Linked DNA regions of Neodiprion lecontei. The protein of the gene in region 3 purifies or fractionates together with the protein of the main gene of each other region. This does not show direct contact. Links are inferred from orthologs where the notes say so. Each region holds a gene or a part of one and is shown on either strand. Other genes may lie near its edges. The genes, in order: viral IAP-associated factor homolog, DDB1- and CUL4-associated factor 7, T-complex protein 1 subunit beta and serine/threonine-protein phosphatase 6 catalytic subunit.

Evidence for each region.
Region 1: the proteins of T-complex protein 1 subunit beta (region 3) and viral IAP-associated factor homolog purify together in Homo sapiens (co-immunoprecipitation; 3 studies listed by BioGRID and IntAct, with this or other methods). This does not show direct contact. The link is inferred for Neodiprion lecontei from reciprocal best matches to the Homo sapiens genes CCT2 and PDCL3.
Region 2: the proteins of T-complex protein 1 subunit beta (region 3) and DDB1- and CUL4-associated factor 7 purify together in Homo sapiens (affinity purification with mass spectrometry; 4 studies listed by BioGRID and IntAct, counting the BioPlex papers as one, with this or other methods). This does not show direct contact. The link is inferred for Neodiprion lecontei from reciprocal best matches to the Homo sapiens genes CCT2 and DCAF7.
Region 4: the proteins of T-complex protein 1 subunit beta (region 3) and serine/threonine-protein phosphatase 6 catalytic subunit purify together in Homo sapiens (affinity purification with mass spectrometry; 4 studies listed by BioGRID and IntAct, with this or other methods). This does not show direct contact. The link is inferred for Neodiprion lecontei from reciprocal best matches to the Homo sapiens genes CCT2 and PPP6C.

What each region holds. Positions count from the first base shown.
Region 1 is NC_060260.1:19,522,179-19,527,135, reverse strand, and holds the start of viral IAP-associated factor homolog, read left to right. Parts: upstream 1-1,945; 5' UTR 1,946-2,122; coding exon 2,123-2,125; intron 2,126-2,618; coding exon 2,619-2,760; intron 2,761-4,957. UniProt on the Homo sapiens protein: Acts as a chaperone for the angiogenic VEGF receptor KDR/VEGFR2, increasing its abundance by inhibiting its ubiquitination and degradation.
Region 2 is NC_060263.1:25,735,417-25,740,057, forward strand, and holds the start of DDB1- and CUL4-associated factor 7, read left to right. Parts: upstream 1-1,622; 5' UTR 1,623-2,227; coding exon 2,228-2,480; intron 2,481-3,322; coding exon 3,323-3,875; intron 3,876-4,641. Other genes in the region: bystin, read right to left, coding at 184-327. UniProt on the Homo sapiens protein: Involved in craniofacial development. Acts upstream of the EDN1 pathway and is required for formation of the upper jaw equivalent, the palatoquadrate. The activity required for EDN1 pathway function differs between the first and second arches.
Region 3 is NC_060265.1:2,248,354-2,254,176, forward strand, and holds T-complex protein 1 subunit beta, read left to right. Parts: upstream 1-2,002; 5' UTR 2,003-2,155; coding exon 2,156-2,158; intron 2,159-2,565; coding exon 2,566-2,875; intron 2,876-2,990; coding exon 2,991-3,424; intron 3,425-3,623; coding exon 3,624-3,701; intron 3,702-3,856; coding exon 3,857-4,081; intron 4,082-4,179; coding exon 4,180-4,357; intron 4,358-4,537; coding exon 4,538-4,741; intron 4,742-4,821; coding exon 4,822-4,994; 3' UTR 4,995-5,293; downstream 5,294-5,823. UniProt on the Homo sapiens protein: Component of the chaperonin-containing T-complex (TRiC), a molecular chaperone complex that assists the folding of actin, tubulin and other proteins upon ATP hydrolysis.
Region 4 is NC_060262.1:30,903,462-30,909,029, reverse strand, and holds serine/threonine-protein phosphatase 6 catalytic subunit, read right to left. Parts: upstream 4,006-5,568; 5' UTR 3,933-4,005; coding exon 3,864-3,932; intron 3,717-3,863; coding exon of another isoform or gene 3,705-3,716; coding exon 3,609-3,704; exon of another isoform or gene 3,606-3,608; intron 3,519-3,605; coding exon 3,311-3,518; intron 2,985-3,310; coding exon 2,905-2,984; intron 2,798-2,904; coding exon 2,692-2,797; intron 2,349-2,691; coding exon 2,187-2,348; intron 1,849-2,186; coding exon 1,658-1,848; 3' UTR 502-1,657; downstream 1-501. Other genes in the region: dynamin, read left to right, coding at 4,663-4,826.

The DNA.
Region 1 (4,957 bases), on a different chromosome or scaffold from region 3:
AATGCACAAATGGCATTGTCGAGTGCTATATAATAATTGGATATAATCGTGTTAGTTAATTATGGTGTTAATATGATAGTGATATATAGTAACGTATAATAATATTATAGCTCTTTGTAGTGCGAAGATCTCGTAACATGGTTTTTAAGCTTTGGTTAGTGAATGTCATAGTTATTTCCATCTAGGGATATTCCAAATAGTTAGACAATTGTTTTAATTCCTTATGGTTACAAGATTCTCGTACTTCGAGTTTGGTTAGTTGATAAAAGTAACATGCAGTAATAATAGTCGATAAAACATACGGACGTTCCGGTCGGATGTTACAGACAGTTCGCAAACTGTCGCAAATACTGGTAGCGCACACGGAACGGAATGTCCGGAACGCCTCTGATCGGGGCTTGAAAAGTCACTGAATTCCGGGTTCGTGGAGACGGAATAAATTCCGGACTATGGGACGGCGGCTTAACGCAACACAGTGGGTGCTTTCCATTTACCGACTCTAGTCGACTTGTGTCGCTATTTCTGGTGTATTCCTTTGCCCAGATTGGCCGGTTACATCAGAAATAGCGACACAAGTCGATCTGAGTCAGTAAATGGAAGGCACCCAGTATGAATCATCAAACTCATACGCATTCCGAAGGCCACACCACGACAACCCTATAGACCTGCTTTAGCTAGTTACTCGAGTCGACGGAAGCTTAGAACATATACTGTATATGCTCTAAGGACGAAAGAAGCGTAGTGTACCACAAAAAACTAGAGTAAGGGATTAGAAGAACATAGCTACCGGTCCCTATAAATAAGGGCACCACGCGTCAAAACGCTCTTTCGGATCGTGCCCCTAGACTTGACATCCTGTTTTCGAGTCAAGTCTCTTGGCGCAATCCTTATGCTTTCTTACATTTCAAATTCCTTTATCACCAGTATAAAATATTCACTTTCTAAAACGCTCTGTCGGCTTATACCACAGATCCCACCTGTAGTGTAGATTCCTGCTCTACCTAGTCTTGCGGTACCCAGTCATTTGCACACTACGCTACCCGTTCAAAAGCTGTCTCAGAAATTCAGAACCAATATTCTTTTTCTCGCAATTAAATATTCCATTTTTTAGAACTTAGTTCTGGCCGATCAAATAACGCTTTTGCCCGTCTTGACTCTGAAATAATTATTATTCAACCTTTAGTGCCCTGTAAACGGTCTATTGAGAAAATAAACACCTTTAAATATATTTCAAGTAATTTCAAATAAAATTAGTTGCAATTAAACTCCTATTTCACATTTATTGATCACTTGTTAGGAATAAGAGGCAAAGAGTATCATCTCCGTTTTCTATTTTTAGCCGTCATTATGGAAATTTATGGTTTACTTATCAAGTTATGGAATACTTGTATCGCTTGCGTTTGAATTAATTCAGGCAGTGACCTAACCGAATAAACCACCAAGCTTGATTAAACCCTAAGCAGGGCTATAACTTGAATAATATAAAAAAATATAAACAAATTATCTATATCAATATCGTTCATTTTAAGGAAAAAAATATATAAATTTCATGTGTATGTACGAATAATAAATCTACGAAGGTAATAAATGAAATAAACGTATGTTGTTTAAAGAAACGGTGTTGTTTTTATTGGTTAACCAATTTCGATAATTTTTTCACACCACGATACCACACATGGTTTAACCATTTTTTTTTTTAAAACGCAACAGCGTTTCACGCGTATGTAAGACCGTGAGTATGACGCACGCGCTAATTTTAGGTTATATGCTTCATTACAAATATAATTTCGGTGGCACATTTTCATCCCTACCCCACGTACATCCCTAGATAGCAGCGCTGCGACACGGCTATTTCAAACACTAAAAACTACGGACAACAAGAGAACCACCCACGCCGCTCTGTAGAAAATTGGCTTCGTTGCCAGATCTGTATGTAAGACCGTGCATGCTACGCAAGGTATCCGTGTCATCTATACATATGTATATGCGAGCTTGCGAGCAGTGCGAAGCAGTGCCACCGCGTGGAGTACTGAAGTTTGTTTTTGACGTACTCTTAAAAGAATTCTATAGACAATTGTATTTTCATATTATTAATTATTAATATTCTTACTTTCAATACAAAATGGTAAGTATACAAATTCAAGAATCATAACCCTAGCGATATTTCCATAAGCAAGGGTATTTTTATCCTATCAGTGAGTGTTACCTTATTTGGTGTCATTCTCAAAACAAGAATTGTAAATACTATTCAGAGGTATATACGTGATATCATAGATATTTCACACATGGCCATTTCGCATCACTGCATTTAAACTACTCAAACGTGACAACATCGCATTCATACCAGGCAGTTTTTGGACCTAACGATTGTACGTTCGTCACATAGCAAATGTACATGTTGTGTGTTTGACATGTATGTTTTAAATTCTTTCTAAAAACACTGCCCCATTACATACCTGAAATTAACATGAGATCCTATTACCAAACATAAAAGGTTGATATGTACATGGTATTATTTCTGCTATTCACCTTCTATCTGTACGATTTTAAATGCGTCCTTCGCTTGAAGAATTTTGATTTGGAATGAGATGTATAGTTGCAATTAATTAACATTTCAGCAAGACCCAAACGAAGATACCGAGTGGAATGATGCCTTGAGAAAGCAAGGAATTATTCCTGCAAAAGAAAAGGAGAAAGAAATCACAGAGGATCAAATTGTCGATCTCTTGGAAAGTACAATCGATAAAAAACTTGGCCGAGGTATGTATTATCAGCTACATTTTATACGTCAGTATAAATCACCAGAATGAGTATGTAATAGCGACGTACGTATACCTGTATAGAGGTTATAACTCATGCAGGTTAAGATAGGTAAATTTACATTTAGTAGTTACCAAGTGCACATTCATGGCATTTTAATAGTGATCTTGAGAAACTATCAAAACCAAACTTTTGGACCCTCAGTACTTCCAATTTCCTAGATATGGAGAAAATTCAAAATATTTGTTTCACAATACCTTCTTGACAATTGTCTATTGTCTATAACGATCTCTCTGGGGTGTAGATTGCATGCTTGTAGCACCTACTTAATTCATGCATATACTTTGTTCACAATGTGGCAAGGAGGAAGCATATTACGCCTTACCATCGAAAGCTTGGCTCGCTAGTTCTGTTCAGGATCGCGAGCTTTATCTTTTGGGTACTCTGCTTTTCATAATTTTTCAATCTGGGAGACCAGGTTTCCTGAGAACTTTTTTTTAGGGACCTGCAGTTCGTGACCTGACCAGGTTCTGCTTGAGCAGTTTTATTACTCTGCGGTTTGCAAGTGAATCGTATCGGCGATCTTTTCCGGTTGAAGGGTTGCGTTTATGGGAGTTCCTTTCCACTGAGTTGAGGGAATCCAGTTCCTTGGAAGGCTACACAGGGTCTTTTTAATTACCTGCTAGCCGCTGGGGATGCGTGACAGGGTGCAGTCTAACCCGAATGCTTCATTCTATTTTAACTACTTATTACATTGATTTGAATTTTAAGTTGTGTGGTTATATTTATTTTTATTTTTAATTTTATTTTACATAACCTGACCTTCATCTCTGTACTTTTACTTTGCTTCTCTGTAATCTTATTCTTTATCGCTTTACTTGGGTTTATTCTTTCTCTGTTTCGCTTACTTTGACTGTTTTGGTTTTGTTTTGGCTAGTTTAAGTTCTTAAATTGTATTTTAATTTCTAGAGTAGCATTTTTGGCTTTCTCCTATTTCAGATTTTTTGTTTTTGTAATCGTTTAATTCTGTTAAGACAGATGAATCTAACAATAAATTGTCCAACATTGTCATGGACATTGATAAATATTAATACTAATCCAAACAAAAAAAAAAAAAATAATGGAGCCTGTCAATGACGACTAAAATTTCAAAAATCTTTTACCATTTTTAAGAATTAGTTTTTATTTTGTTTTCTCAAAATTTTCAAAGTGCTCATGCTCAATGGCATTGAGAGGTGACTCTTTGAATTACACATGAGGTATAGGATTTGATGAGATCTATCAACCTGATCTTGGTGGTAGTAAAAAACAGTGATGCGTCATACTTAAAATTAAAAAAAAAATAACGTTTTTTGGCACTTTTTCTGATATCCTGGGTTTTTCTGAAAGAACAGTGTTCCTTGCACCTCTAATTCATAATCATAAAATCGAAACAGCATATGAGTATATATCTTTCAGTTAATATAGATGAATCGTGTTCGAAAATCGGAAAATACTCGTTGTTTCATAAGTTTTTGGAGCTAGTTAGAATTGTCAAATCTGAACTCCAATTTCTCAATCAGAGTCTCTCAAGATATTGAATTTACATGTCTTCAAACTGACATATTCCAAATCCCGTAAAACTTCCGCATTGAGGTACTCAAGTAAGTGCTAATATTTTTTTTGTACTTTTAATGAGTAAAAATCATAGTCAATTGGTAAAACTTTATTTTTTTGTAATTTGTTTAATAATTGCATATAGGTGGGGGTTAAAATATAGAACGTTTACAAAGTAAATGTATCGTAATACTGAATTATCAAGGATGCGAAAATCTCATATGATTTTCAGAATGCAGAAAGTCAAAATATAGAAAATTTGAATCGGAAAGGTCAAAGTATAGAAAGTATAAGTGATATAGAATCAGCATAATAAATAGAAATGTTGTACAATTCTGACAATTCTATGTTTTGGTTTTATGTATTTCATTTTTCTACGTTTGCACTTTTTTATATCTTGAGTTTCTATACGTTCAGGATCTTATAGAGTAGGCGTTTGCGTATTTGGAACTTTTCAGATCTTAATTTACCCCTACCCATTGCGAATGTGTTATTCATTCATATATGCATACAGAGGTGGACTATTCGAAAAACACAATTCTAAGGCACTACAATAATTATTCAGTTTGCAATTCTTATTCCATTGAATTCCATGCAAAAA
Region 2 (4,641 bases), on a different chromosome or scaffold from region 3:
CATTACGGTTTACATAATTTGAGATGTAAATTCTAAAGTCCGGAAATGTTTTGTAAAATTGCGTCATTAAATTAACGTGACGAACTTCGACCTCATGAAAAACTGGGATAATTTTTGTTCGACTCAATTTCAGAGACTGATATTATGAAAAAACCACTTTTATTTGTGATGAATTACACATACTTCTTCATCTTCATCTTGTCGATGCCTAATTTTTGTCCTGTTCTTCGGCTTAACCACTTTTTCGCTGTTTATCAGTTCTGCTAAGCCAATTTTAACATCCTGACGATCTCGCTTCGAAACCTTTATTTTCTTCGCTTTACCCATTTCACAATGATTATTTTAATTTATTGTCAATGATGAATCGAGAAGTAATGACAGCACGTGGAATAGTGGCTAGAATCACATACATAACCAACACTGAAGCATATGTTCTTAGGGGCGAGGAGTCACCTTAGAGCATGTACTACTGGAGATAGCTTCGCGTGTACAGAAAGTGTAGCGGAGGAGTGACAGAGAGAGGTATATGTCGGCTATCATCTCTGTAACCACCCTCTTAGTATATATGCTCTAACAAGGGAACGCTACACTAATGACATTTTTCATATTTTTCATACTTATGATACTGAGCAGTGAGGACTTGAATAACAATTCCCCAAAGACGTTCGATTTCAAAGTCTATAGTTTTTGAGAAAATCAATTTCGAAATACTACGAGCGTGTTATATACACTAAACGGTCACCATCCGACAACGCAGTCCGTGGCGCACCGGGTAGCGCGCTAGAGCGATATCCGATGTGGCTAACTATATATTTTACTTTTATTAATTTTTCCTTTTCTTTTATACGTTTGCCCACATCATTTACGTGTGGACTTGATTAAATTTATGCTGATTAACAGATACTTCGTAATTTACAATGATAAACGTGGATCTTGCTTTCGCATACCTGTCGCTTGAAAAGTCGGGCTTACAATTGAAAATGGTAATTCTTAACTAATAATATTTGTGATAGATTTAATTTTTGCACAAAACCTGCCAGCCTTCCCAGTTATTGACCCTGGCCCAATTATTTACCTTTTTTGGTTGCATATGCTTAATCCTCAGTTATAAAATTATTAAAAATAAATTTGTAGTGTCTAACCTTCTAGGAATTGGTTTTAGTCATCGAGAAATTTGCAATGTGTGCCTTCAATTTATAATTTAGAAGAATAAATGGATGAATCATTGGGTCTAGACGTGTCGATAATTGGTACACTTACCTTAGTCAATAAATCATCTTAGTAAAGCTAGTTTTCATATATGCCATAGATCTTACCCTAGTAGTAAACGAAATCACCTTCAGCTGGTATGTTAGCGATTGATATGGCGATCTAATATAAACGACCTTTTCAAAATTATATGACATGGTGAGCGTAGAAATTCTGTCGCCATGCATATGTGCAGTATAGTGAACGTTATTTAGACGCTGCGCGCCATTATTTTTGTACTGTGGGGTAGTCTCCGCACCACGCGTGCCAGACGGGAGAGAGTGGGGGAAGTAAGCGAGCAGCGCGCATGCGCAGAACCAGAAGCGCAAAGCGAGCGAGTAGCGTGCCTGAGTGGGACGGGACGGTAGTCCGGTTTCAGCGCTCACGGATAGAGGTTTGCTCCGAGTTTAAGTAGCGCTTCCTTGCTTTATTCGCATACTTACAATAAAGTGAAAATTTCGACAGCAAATACTGTAGAAGCATTTTGCTGCCCATGAAAATTCGACCCGTGTTGGTGGGTCGTAAAAAAACTACTAGGAATATCGAAGGGGTCAGTGTCTAAGTATTTGTACTTCTGGAGCTGAACAGTCGGAACGTTATTTGTGACTTAGTGAACTGCTACAGTCGATGATCTATACGATTGTGTTTACTTTATGATTGCCATTGTGTTTACAAAAAATTCCGAACAAATGTGCATAAGGACGAGTTTTAAATGAACGAACATTCACATTTTATCGTCACATAGTTTAGTGATTTCGAAGATTTCAATCTTGTATTACTCTTGTGTATAAAATGTCAACAATGATTGAAAGTTGAGTAACATAGTCGCAAATTTAAATCCTCTCCGGTCCATAGAATGGTAGCATTCTAAGATCCGAATTTCGGTCTTGGCTATTCTGTGAGAAGAAAAACAATAAGCAGAAATTGCTTTAATGCTGTAAATACTTGAACTGAATAGTTCAACAATTGTTGGTAAAAAATGGCTCTACATAGTGTTCCACCAAAGCGAAAAGAAATTTACAAATATGAAGCACCGTGGCCACTTTACAGTATGAACTGGTCGGTGCGCCCCGACAAAAGATTTCGTCTAGCATTAGGCAGCTTCGTTGAAGAATATAACAACAAAGTACAGATTGTTTCGCTCGATGAGGAAACTTCCGAGTTTACTGCCAAAAGTACCTTCGATCATCCCTATCCAACGACCAAAATAATGTGGATACCTGACGCCAAGTGTACGTAGCTCACTTATACCAACTGTATCCTCAAAAAGTAAAACAACGAGCTCACTTTATTGTATAATACTGTTGAAAGTAAATAACTCAGTTTAAAGCTGAACAAACTGGTCATCTTTTGTTTTTCATTGATGTAATCTTCTAGAATTTTTTCAAGAATTATTGATTACATGTGATCATTATGTTGAAAACAGCATGTCATTATCACAGTCAGACTTCGATACAAAACTTGTTTTATTTGAATTCGCTTTTTTTTTTGGTTTGAATTATCGCCAACAGTTTATTAACCTCTTATGTCAATGCTCAGAGGCATGAAGTTCTTTTGGTATTTTCTGCTTGGTCGAAACCATGTTTTTGAATGAGATAGTTTTTTGTATGCAAGTTTGAGTCAATCTGTAGTGTGCTATCTTCGGCGAAATTAATAAATATCGTTAATAGTACCATAACTAATCTTAAATACTTATATCAATAAACAATTGCAAGCATGAGTGCAGCTTTGTACATCTAAGACTTTCACAGTTAGATCTAGTCTACAATTTGTATTAAACTCACATTTATATGTTCCATTGTTTATGAATTTGTATGTTACGGGAACCATTTACATCACTGCTATAAACTTTAACCTCAAAGCTCAGCCTTATGTTAAATAGACAATAAATTGTGGCATCGATTACTGTAACTAACCACACCTGTTAAATTTGCTGCCTCATCAAGAATCGTTTCTTTGCAATGAATCTTGAATGATTTCATGCACAATAAGTTGATAAAACCTGTGGCCGATTTCAATCGTATAAATCAATAACTTCATAGGTATATTCAATATAACACACATTTTGTTGCAGCTCTGTTTCCTGATTTGCTGGCCACATCTGGAGATTACCTGCGGGTTTGGCGTGCAATAGACGCAGAAACACGACTGGAGTGTGTACTGAATAATAACAAAAATTCGGATTTTTGTGCACCCCTCACATCATTCGACTGGAATGAAGTGGATCCAAATTTAGTTGGAACATCAAGTATTGATACAACTTGCACAATATGGGGCTTAGAAACTGGGCAGGTAGTTGGGAGAATTAGTGTGGTCGCTGGTCACGTTAAAACACAATTGATTGCTCATGACAAGGAGGTCTATGATATTGCATTCAGTCGAGCAGGCGGAGGAAGAGATATGTTTGCATCGGTAGGAGCTGACGGGTCTGTGAGAATGTTTGATTTGCGCCACTTGGAACATTCTACAATTATATATGAAGATCCTCAGCATACGCCACTGTTGCGCCTTGCCTGGAACAAACAAGATCCAAATTATTTAGCCACCGTTGCCATGGATGCGTGCGAAGTAATTATTTTGGATGTTCGAGTTCCTTGCACACCAGTCGCTAGGCTAAATAACCACAGGTACATATGACACAATAGTTCTTACTTGCCTTCATCACACTATCGAATTTTCAATGATGTCATTTTTCAAATGTAGCTTCAAATTGTTTTAAAAGTTTTCTCGTTTTGGGAAATTATTTCTTGGAAGAAACATTGTTACAAGGAAAATAAGCCGCAATGCTCCACTATCAATATTACATATAGCGTGAATTTTATAGCACAGTCCCATCAAAGAAGTTGTAGGTACTCTTGCTCACATTCAATCTAAGACCATTTAAGATAAGTTAGTCAAGTTTAAGAAAATTATATTTACAAATACAGTAATTTTCCTAGAAATGCAAAAAGAAATAGAGCCTGAAATTACGAACAGAAACTTCAACACCGTTTTTTTTTTATTTCAAGATACTTCAAACGGTGACAATTTCAATAGATTCGTTCAATTTGTAACGTTCACGCTGACTTGTTTTGTTTGGAAAACTGTTTCATACATTTTCTTGAAAATATATTTTTTTTCATCCAATAGTTGAATCAATCTGCTATTTATTGGTCAAAATGGACAACAGAGCAATCTTAAAAAATTACATATTGAACGATACCAACTTGATAAATCAAATAGTCATGTTGAATATATTATGTTGTTATATTAATGTCAACAGTTCACTCGTGATCATTTTTCCTATTTTTATTGGGTATATTATCCGAATGACAATAAATTTGATCAAAAAGTATTTCCTGATCACCAAGTTTTCGAAAGTACAACATTATTGAAAGTATCAATATTAGAATC
Region 3 (5,823 bases):
GCGACCCCGGGCCCCGTCTAGACCGGGGAAAACGAAGGGGGACTCGGGCCTACGACGATGAGCCCCCGGCGCCAGGTGCCACTCTCGGTGTGCCTCGCTGTGCCTCGGGGAGGGACGACCCCCGCCCCTTGCATTTAAAGAGTCACCCGCCAATGCCGACGTCTCGATACATCTGCGCCCGCACACTTCAACTTTAAAGCTGCACGCGTGCCATGATCGTGTACTAAATGCGGGCTACGTGGTGAAGCCTATTAAACGCTGCGACAACTAACGATAAAATTAACGAATTCTCGATCAAAGGATCAGGTAATCAGTCGACTTTCAATTACGCTACGTTTTCATTTTGGGACCGTTTCAGCCTGTCCAGTTATTCCTGTGACTTTTTTTCACTTATGCATACTTTGGATTCTCTTTGTTCAGGTTTCTGCCGAGTAGATTTGGACGTTTCTACTTTTCCCGGCCTACCCTTGCCTTGACTCGCACCCTTACTCGGTTTCGCTGGCTCTTGTTACTCTGACTTAAAAACGGGTTTTGTAACTTCGGGTGCTTGGAACAGAGTTGCGGAACCGTTTGAAGAAAATATTTTTCAATTACCTTCCAGCGCAAAACCTGTATTACATACAGTCCAAATGGGAAGTATACAGTTTCTGATCATTCAAAATTCTGCAGATATTAAAAATTATTGAAATTTCAAGCGGCATGTGCCAGACCATCCAAATGCAATCCAACTCGAAAACTGAATAATCTTTCAAACATTCAATCTGTGGTCGTTTGTGTCAATGAAATCTCAGAAACACATTTGAAAATAGGGAAAAATAAATTCAAATAAAAAAATGAATTCATCTATAGGAACGTGATTTAAACCGAAAGTCTGTACTCGACAAACATACACATACGCATATCCTCGACCCGCCTATCGTCTAACTGAAGCTATTGTCGACGCTACCGGAGTTAGGGCGAGCAAGGTGACGAGGGGAGAGAAGTAGACAGCTGCGAGGGACCGTTACGCTGTGAACGCGCAACCTGCGCACCCCGCAGACAACACCAATTTGGGGTGCGAAATACATACATTAGAAGAAGGGGGATGCAGGGACGCGAACGTCCCGAAGCCAACGATAAGGGGAGATAAAATGGAAGTTTGAGTGAAAAAATCCGGACCAATCCAAGCAGGAATTTATTTGCAGTTAATTTAACAAGTGCGTAAGACGGGGTTTTACGGTATGAAGGTAACGTACGTGGTGCAAGCATTCTGTATATACAAAAAACTTGACACTGGTACGGCATTTATACGTATAAACATGCTCAATGCGTTTATAATCATATCAATAGCTATGTTATACTGATGAGTCAGCTGAAACGCGCCGCTCTGGAATTCTAAAACAGTTTTGTGTGGTAACCAAGCCAGCTTCGTATATCCTTTGCATTCTTCTTGCGCATTCCTGCAATATGACTTCGAATGAGTCAAGCACGCGGGCATTAGCCATGAATAGTTCTCGTCGACCTCACCAATACCAGATGTTACTACTGACAGCTACTGAACTCTAACAGAGTCCAGCATTGAATTTCTACGCCTGCAATTACTATTAAAATATCGTCGCATGTATGACCAGTTGCTAACAATTAGGTTCACGAACAAGGTAAATTGCTTGCAACAAGGTCTTCGACATTCGCCTACGATCAGGCGTAACGTCATAAGTTGCCTATGATCAGGAGTAAAATGGAAAACATTGGACGTCCGTAAAGAAAGAAATTCAGGATTTTTTACGTAGGGAAAAAAACCAAAATTGCGGAAGAAACATGTTTTTGAGTCTGTTAAATTGTTCCATTCGCAATTGAAGGCATTATTTTACTCAATTCAGATGTGGGACGACGTCCTACGATGCAGAATGACCATAATTGGTCTTGAAATTGGAAAGATGGAATCAAGTCAATATGAGTGGTGGTATCTAGCGGTCGGAAGAATCACTTGGGGCTCACAGATCTCGCGATTGGTCGCGAGAGCTGCGCGAAGGCAAGGCTTCTAGTTGTTTCTGCACGGTGCGATTCGTCGGCCCTTCGTTGTTCCAAGATCAGCATCATTCAACATCACGGCGCCCGACATCGAAGCGGTGATTTCTGAATTTGGTGTTTAGTACGCGATAACGAACAATTAACGATGGTCAGTACTGCATTTAGCTAACTAATAAACTAGCCTAAGTCTCGTTCGAATCTCGTTCCTCGTTACCCCCGGATATAAAATCCTCAAAATCCAAACCCAACGATGGGCGAAGTCGATCCTCCCACGACTGACTGTCCGGTGTCCGCATCAAAATGATGGCGAATCGCGTGACACGAAATGCACGTGTCTCGAGCATCACAGGATTGATACAGGAATTCGGAGACGTTGTCTTCGACGATATGATCGCGTGGTATTGAGCTGCACCGCGGACTTCATTAGGCACACCCTGAATCTCCGTGTCTCGCCTTTGCTTGTCTACTACGGCAACCTAACCTCTCCTGCACATTATGAATCCGGCGGATGATATTCTTTTTAACAAAAATATGAGTGAGCAAACATTTTTTTAGGTGTCACTTAATCCTGTCAGGATATTAAAGAATGAGGCGGAAGAGGAGAAGGCAGAAATAGCACGGCTGAGTTCTTTTGTTGGAGCCATCGCTATTGGCGAACTGGTCAAATCCACTCTAGGCCCTAAAGGCATGGACAAGATTCTTGTCGCTCATGGACGATCAGCTGGTCAAGTTCAGGTTACCAATGACGGGGCCACTATCCTCAAGAGTGTCGGTGTTGATAACCCTGCAGCAAAAATACTTGTGGACATGAGCCGAGTGCAGGATGACGAAGTTGGCGACGGCACAACTTCTGTAACAGTATTGGGTTTGTTATTCATTTATTTGTCTATTGAGTTCAATCAATTGTTTTGAAGACAGCATTAATAGTTTGCAATCCATCACAAATTAAATTGTTTTTTTGTTTTTCTGAAACCTAACAGCGGCTGAATTGCTAAAGGAAGCAGAAAAGTTGATAGATCAGAAGATTCATCCGCAGACAATAATTGCTGGCTGGCGTAGCGCTACTACGGTTGCCAGGGAGGCACTACATAACACGGCGACAGATAATTCAGCGGATCCTGAGACTTTCCGCAAAGATCTTATGAACATTGCACGAACAACGCTTAGTTCAAAGATTCTGTCTCAGCATAAAGAACACTTTAGCAAGCTGGCTGTTGATGCTGTACTGCGTCTCAAAGGCTCAGGCAACTTATCTGCTATACAAATAATAAAAAAACGGGGTGCCACTCTGGCTGATTCATTCCTTGATGAAGGTTTCCTTCTCGATAAAAAACCTGGAGTTCATCAGCCCCAGCGTATCACCGATGCTCGTATTCTGATTGCCAATACCCCCATGGATACTGATAAAATCAAGGTATAAATTAAAATAAAACAATTTTAATTGACTGGGCATTCTTCGAAACTTCTGTTCCAGTTCTATATAAATTGAATATCTTGAATGTAGTAGCTATGCTTGTCACAGCATTTTTTATTGAAATAACACGATACACTGTACTGATACGTGTGATTTCGTGTTTATTTGCATTTTTATTAATTTATTAATTATCTTTCAGGTCTTCGGTTCAAGGGTACGTGTCGATTCGATGGCAAAGATTGCAGAGCTAGAGACTGCAGAAAAGGAGAAGATGAAGGTATTGAAATAACGTCAACATTCGCATTTTCACGTATAAGTTTACTTAATTATTCGCAAAAATATGAGGCTTACGTGTAATGGCCAGAACTAGACGATTCCGTACCAACTAATCAACTTTATATCCTCTGAAATGATGAATTGCTTCCCAACCAGGATAAAGTTGACAAAATAGTGAAGCATGGCTGCAATGTCTTCATAAACAGGCAGTTGATCTACAACTATCCAGAACAGTTATTCGCTGACGCTGGTTTGATGGCCATTGAGCATGCAGATTTTGATGGTATCGAAAGACTCGCCCTTGTAACTGGAGGAGATATAGTCAGTACCTTCGATCATCCCGAACTGGTCAAACTTGGCAAATGTGATTTAATAGAGCAGGTGTGTCTCTAGATCTTGGATACTATAAGTATGCCTTGCAACCTATTTAATTCAGAAAATTGTATCAACAATTCTGATCATCGTTTGAATCACTACAGGTTATGATTGGAGAAGACTCTCTTCTTCGTTTTTCGGGTGTAGCTCTCGGTGAAGCTTGCACCGTTGTCATCAGAGGCGCTACTCAACAAATCCTAGATGAAGCTGAGCGTTCATTACACGACGCTCTCTGCGTACTGGCAGCTACAGTACGCGAGTCGCGTATCGTATTTGGAGGAGGTAAAAAATTTCTCATGTTTTACCAAAACGCCGGTGCAAAAATAATTTGGTTGCTGCGTTGAATACTCGGATTTTATTCAAAATGTTACGCAAACAAATGGGAGTGCGCGCTCCACAATTTAGTAAGAGCACACAACAGTTTTTTCCTTGTAATCCTAAGCCTTATAAAAATCCTAACAGGTTGCAGCGAAATGGCTATGGCTTGTGCAGTGATGAAAGCTGCCACTGCTACCCCTGGAAAAGAGGCTGTTGCCATGGAAGCGTACGCTAGAGCTCTTCAGCAGTTACCTATAGTAATTGCAGACAACGCGGGTTACGACTCAGCTCAGCTAATCAGCGAGCTCAGAGCCGCGCATAATTCGGGAGCCTCAACAATGGGACTTGGTTAGTATTGAATTTCAAGGCCGAATCCTCAGAATCGATATTCACAGGATAACTATAATGTTTCGTATTTCCTACTACAGATATGGAGGAGGGTAAAATCGGCTGCATGAAAAAACTCGGAATCACAGAGTCGTGGGCTGTGAAGCGACAAGTCGTCCTGAGTGCGTCTGAAGCCGCCGAAATGATACTCCGAGTTGACAACATTCTTAAGGCAGCACCGCGAAAACGCGTCCAGGACCGTGGTCACTGTTAAACGGGGCGCGCTTTCCGTTTCAATTCTTTGTAATTTCATTAATTGTCCATTAAATTGAACTGCGCTTCTCCGCATCATAGGTGACGACTAAAACGCGTAACACGCTTATTTAACCGAACACAACTACACGCATTTGTAAACCGGCGACGTGAATCGTCGCCGATTATTATCATTATAATTTTACTTATTAACGAAACACTTCTATGTTCGATATATCGAACATAACAATAAATTCGTTTTCATGTATGTATATGTATAGCGAAATATGTATACGTACATGTATATCGTTTTGTACCTAATATTTTCTTATTCAACAAATCCATATTCATACAAACCTAGAAAATTACAATTGGGAAAGTTGATTCGAAACCCGAAACTCGCAATGAAACATTTGCTACTCAAGTGGGCACAATTACCTAAAAGGGTGAAAAATTGTACCAAATTTCATGTGTGACATGATTAAAATTAATTTACGGTTTTACCATTATACTGATCCGTAGGTTTCGAAAAATGATTACATAATCATTATTCACATATGAACAGTAGTGCTCAAAATACGTTGGATTAGAGTTGATCAGACTGCAGAATAATAAAAATTGAGCGGTCTCTTGGAAAACGAAGAATCCCGGGCTCACAGAGTCGAAGTTCGACAAGTCGTTTGCTGATATAATCGCCGAGTCGATGGACTGTTGGCGCGCTGCGATCGGAGATGAGGAAACTGTCGAGCAACAGTAAAGAGACGGTGGATAACATTGGCAGCGAAGGTGCCAAAGATAGAATCACGGTAGAATATAAATCATCGCTGGCGTTCGCGTACGCACGATACACG
Region 4 (5,568 bases), on a different chromosome or scaffold from region 3:
GAACTGACATGATTTTGTAACAAAGAACACGCATTACGTGCACGATATAAATTCTATATGATCTGCTCGGAGCAGATCTACTCCGTCGATTTGATAAAATTTGAAATTGTATATTGGTTTGATTTGGCAGCTAGTGCCATTTTATACTATAATTCTTTCGTTTGTGAGTTCAGTAGGAGTATCATAAATTAGTGACAAAGAGTGCCAGAATTCAGGTTTGTTACATACAGCAACAGCAACAGCAGCAGCTGGTGAGTTAATACTATCCATGTATTTTCATTATGCATTATTATATTACACAAACGCTTATTAATTTAGAGGCACATTGCTAAGGGTCTCAGTTTAAAAAATTGCTCCCTACGTTAATAAACTTATGATAATCTACCTATCAATTATTTAATACAACAATAATTTGGCATATGAATACATGATATGGAAACTGTACACTCATACTTGTTATTCGTTTCTTTTTATTTGGCAAAGTGGTATCTCTGCTTCAACTGTATCAAGATGGTCACGGAAAGGACTGAACTAGCTGTATACTACGTTCAACTTCGTACAGTTTATGGTTACCATCGTTCCTAAAGTAATGTGTCTTTTTTTTTTTTATGAGTATCAGTTATTGCGATCCACGGAATTTAAACATTTATAAAACATTTATGTATTGATATCAATAAGCCATCATATAATTTACGAAATGCAAGGAATTGGTTATCGATAAAATATTGCCATGTTTCGTACAAAAATGTTGCAATGCTTTTTTTATCATCAAGTAAAATGGTATGTGCTAAACTTTTACCGGACCATCCGTGATCATACTGTTTTATTTTTATTGTACAATTATTCAAGATAAAGATACAATATTAGCATTAGCAATAATAGTCGGTACGAAGCTCGTTAGAACAGAATCAAGTTATTAATATCTTCGGGAAGACCCTAACGATACGACATTGGCTTATGCATTCTTGAAACCTGAATTCTAGACACAGTAAACTGTAATGTCGAAGAAGCATTCACTGTTCCCAGAGCCCACTTCTTGTCGGAATGTTTGAATAATAATATTTTCTATGTTATTTCCCTTTACATCACTGGACCAATGACATTTCGTGTATTTATAAGTTACTTAAAAGCTCTCAGGCGACCAAACATGTCCAACTTGCTGCTCTGAGGTGCGAATGCTCTACAGAATGTACACAGTAGGCAGCAAAAGCATCTAGACCATAGAATGTCGTTGTTGAATTTTTACAGAAGCTCTTTTAAGTAAACAGATCAGGCTGATGCAATGGCAGAACCTTTTTATATCATTATATTTCTCAGTATAGTTTACCACAGACAACTTTCTAGCGTATAAAATTTTTTTAAAAAACAAGGTCATAAATTCCTTTACATATAATTTTACTTGAACAATAAAGAAGGGCACAATCATTGTGCCGGAAATATATCTTGATACGGAAAAAAAAGAAAACAAAAACTACGAATTTCATGATAAACTGATGTATAAAAAAACCTCCCAAATTATGATATACTACAAGAACATTCGTTCATGCTGTCAAAATACCAGCCCAATTCATTGACAAAGGAGCAGTCATGTATCTCCGTGAGGCCTAGATCCCGACGCCGCTCCTCTGCATCGAGACAGATGGAGCGCCGAGTTAGATCACAAAAAGTAAGGTGTTGTCGTAAGTGGGGGAATCACTCTTTCGGCATCTGGCACTGCCTGGAATAACACCGCATTTCTCTGGTCCACCGTTGTGAACTGTAGAATACTGGCTATGTTGCCACATCGATAACAATAGTTTGGCGCCGACCAAACTGTCACCAACTTATCATTGAACATGTATCTATACCCTACAAAGGTAAATGTTATATTTATTTACAAAATATGAATAATACTTAACGATTTAAAGAATATTTCGATCCTTTAGCATCAAGTTATTGCCGTACGTGCATTTGTGTTTGCTATACCAAGTTGAAATCTATAGTTTTCAACTTTAGTGAATTCTGGCGACTTCATTGGCAATGAGATATTGCATTTGGTAAATAAATTTCAAATGTCTTGATACGAAATTATTGACTAGTTTCTTTCGACAGTAACAATATGCTTACGATTAGTTGAAGAAGCAAAGAAAAATAATATATTGGATAAACAAAATAATAACCTAACTATTATTACCGCAAGGGCTTACCTTCGTGAACTAACTGATGTGCTCTACATATGAGTTGAAGATCATTTATACCCATAAATTCATGAGTAACTTTACTTCCGAATAGCCATCCGGCTCCTCGTGGGCTTACTGTCCAGGTATCGACATCTTCTGGGTCGGACCACACTAGATCACAGAAAGCACCTGCAAGTAAATAAAGAATGAGAAAATATCAATCGAGTTGGCCACATACGAAGTTGAAACTGACAGTCAAATTTGGCAGGCAATCGAACCAAAACTTTTCTTATATAGAGGAAAGCAGTACACTTTTGTGTTTATAAATTTATTTAAATGTTGGCATTCCATGAGCTTTGACAAGATTTCGGCAACGAACTTCACCCACCAGTTTCAAAAGTGCAAAGCTGAGTAACTTAATGCTTACTGGAAGTTTTCAGGATAGCGTTCCTAATCATTACATAATATTTTTGATGGATATAATATTTACTCAAATTGTTATACGATAGACTTGATTTATAGTTGTTCATACCTTTATGTGGGATTTCTTGATTTCTTTCAATTGTCCTAATTTGATCTAGAGTCCTAATAGCTGGTGACAAACCACCATGAACACAGAGCACTTGTTCGTCAATTAACTAGAAGAAAAAATTTCGTTGAAATAAATTATTACGTATCTAGTATTTTCAGTTTTTACTACTTTTGTACTGAAAATCATGGTGCATTAATGTATAAATATACTCACAGCAGCTACTGTAAGAAGATCGAATACTCTGCAGCAGTACTTCCACGCATTTGCATTTCCATACTTATTGTGACACTCATCTGTGAAGGAAAGAGAATTCTGGAGTCAAATTCCAAAAAAGTTTGGGGGCAGGCAACCTGAATAACTTATAAAGCTGACATTTAACTCCCATGCTCGTCAAACTAAATTTTGCATGTAAACATTATGTGATTTCCTTCCAGTAGCGAAAGAAGCGTAAGGCTTGAAAGAAAAGCAAATCAAACAGATACTAAAACGAAAATCAACCGCATGCTCGCAGCGTGAAAACTTGCTAATTATATTTTGGGCTTCAGATCCATCCTAACGTATAGCCAAAGCTCTGAGATTACTGGATCCTACAATGGTAAATAGAAGAGCACATGGTTACCGTAAAATCCATAAACTTGTGTGATTTGGCGCGATTCATGATTTCCTCGTAATAGCGTTATCCTGTCTGACCATTTGGCCTTTAGTGTTAGCAGACGGGTAAATGTTTCTAAGCTGTAATATCCTCTATCGACAAAATCTCCCATAAATATGTAATTTGTATCAGGTACTGGGCCTCCGCTCCGAAACAACTCCTCCAGGTCGTAGAACTGACATGAAAGACGCACAAATATTATGGGATATGCATCAACAAGTACTGCCCTAAAGTTTTGAGGTTATATTGGGTCGCAGTAGCTCACCTGTCCGTGAATATCACCGCATACGGTTACTGGAGTCGATACTGGCTGGATATTGGATTCTTCGAGGAGCAAATCGCAAACCATGTCACACAATTTCTGTATAAACAGGTAAAAGTACAAGTTAAATTATTCAAAGATAATACTTCGGGAAATGTAACCTAAAATATTTTCATGAAAATTGGTATTTCGAAAGTACGGCGAGAGATTATACGAGCAGTAAATATTTATTTATCGTCAATGAAATGCGCTCATTACCTTGAGGTCATTTTCTGGTAGGTATTTGCACTCTTTTGCAATATCAATCCATTTATCGATGTCTGACATTTTGGATTCGTAATGTCGCGGAAATAGCGGGTCTGCCCTGTCACCTATCTGTGGAACAGGGTACTTGTGACTGGCTTATCGCTATATATTCCGGAAGAAAGAGCGCGCTGCTTAAAAAATATCATATTTATTAATTAAAAATTTCACCGACTCCGGGTAATTTTGTGGATAACTGTTTGATTGAAAAACTGTATAAAACGTGTCTTTTAACGCTGGTAAATACCCCTGTCAACGAAACGCTATTCACTACGTCGTTATCTGTATAGATTTTCTTTCCGTTTCTAAAACTGGGTCAGAAACTCGGCGGCACTGCGCAAGCTTCGATTATCGATTATAACGTTAACGTCCAGAATCTTGATGCTGGATCTCATTTGCGTGATCGCGGCGTAGGGCACTCGCAGTGTTGCTGTTCTGTCCGTTTTCTTACGGAACTTTGCTGAAACGCGCGTTTCTCGCTCGCAGAATCGGGCTCCGGGTATTAAAAATGCGGTGAAAACACTCGGGTTCGGAGTTCGAATCGGCTCAAGGAATATCGTGGGCCCAGCCATTTTGCTCTATCGAGAGAGAGACGAGCAGTGTGAGAGACAGTTCTGACCGCTCTACTGCTACCCTGTCGGACGGAGGTGGTGGTCGCGGCTCCGTGCTGATACGCTTTTATTCTGTTTTCCAGTGTCGTTGAATAGCTCTTGTTGCTCGAGGAAGTGCCGACGATAACTTAAAATTAACCAAAATGTCAGGCAATACGGGAATGGAACAGTTGATACCAATTGTAAATAAGCTTCAAGATGCGTTCACTCAGCTCGGAGTGCACATGCAACTCGACCTGCCACAGATCGCTGTTGTGGGCGGACAAAGTGCTGGCAAGAGTTCCGTTCTGGAAAATTTTGTCGGCAGGTAAGTTCGATCCTTCCATCCATCAACGCCCCGAAATTATCGACGAATCCATGCTAATTTTTTTTATCGTTATTCTTAACCTATTTGCTCCGATACAACGCAAGGCGTGGCAAATTACCAAGCCGACCTTAAACGTCCCGTCAATATAATAATACCGTCGATGCTGGGAATTAACGATACGTCAACGCGTTTGACAGTTGGGAAATTTCAAACGTACGGGTCGCCAGGGTCAATAACGAAATTCCCCGGTCGCCCACTCGCCTCGAGTGACACCCTGTATCAAGTTCCTTCGCGAATATTTAGTCCAGACTCTAATTCTCTATTCTAAAGTCTCAATCGTCCCGATGATCTAACAATTGATAATATGAGTCAGCCTGTTTTCACGCTATCTTTCACCCGTTATTCCAAATGAAAGTTGGCTTGAGAAACACGCGACTTTTGTACGGTAACAAAAGAAAAAGAGCTAGATGTAAAAATGGCAAACAATTGAACAAATAAACGACATGCGACACCGATGAAGAAAGATCCAACCTCAAGACCACTTTCAAATTGTATATTGATTGGAAAAAAATTAGACTCAACAGTGCTGACATGTGCAGAAAAATAAATCTACAAAAAGAAAAAAATTTTCTTGGGTCTCTTTTCCGAATTTTATCTCAGTGCCCAAATTTGGTTACAATTTTTACGATTTTCCACGATATATTATCCATGCCATAAGATTTCTTGAAATTTTTTGCTAGTC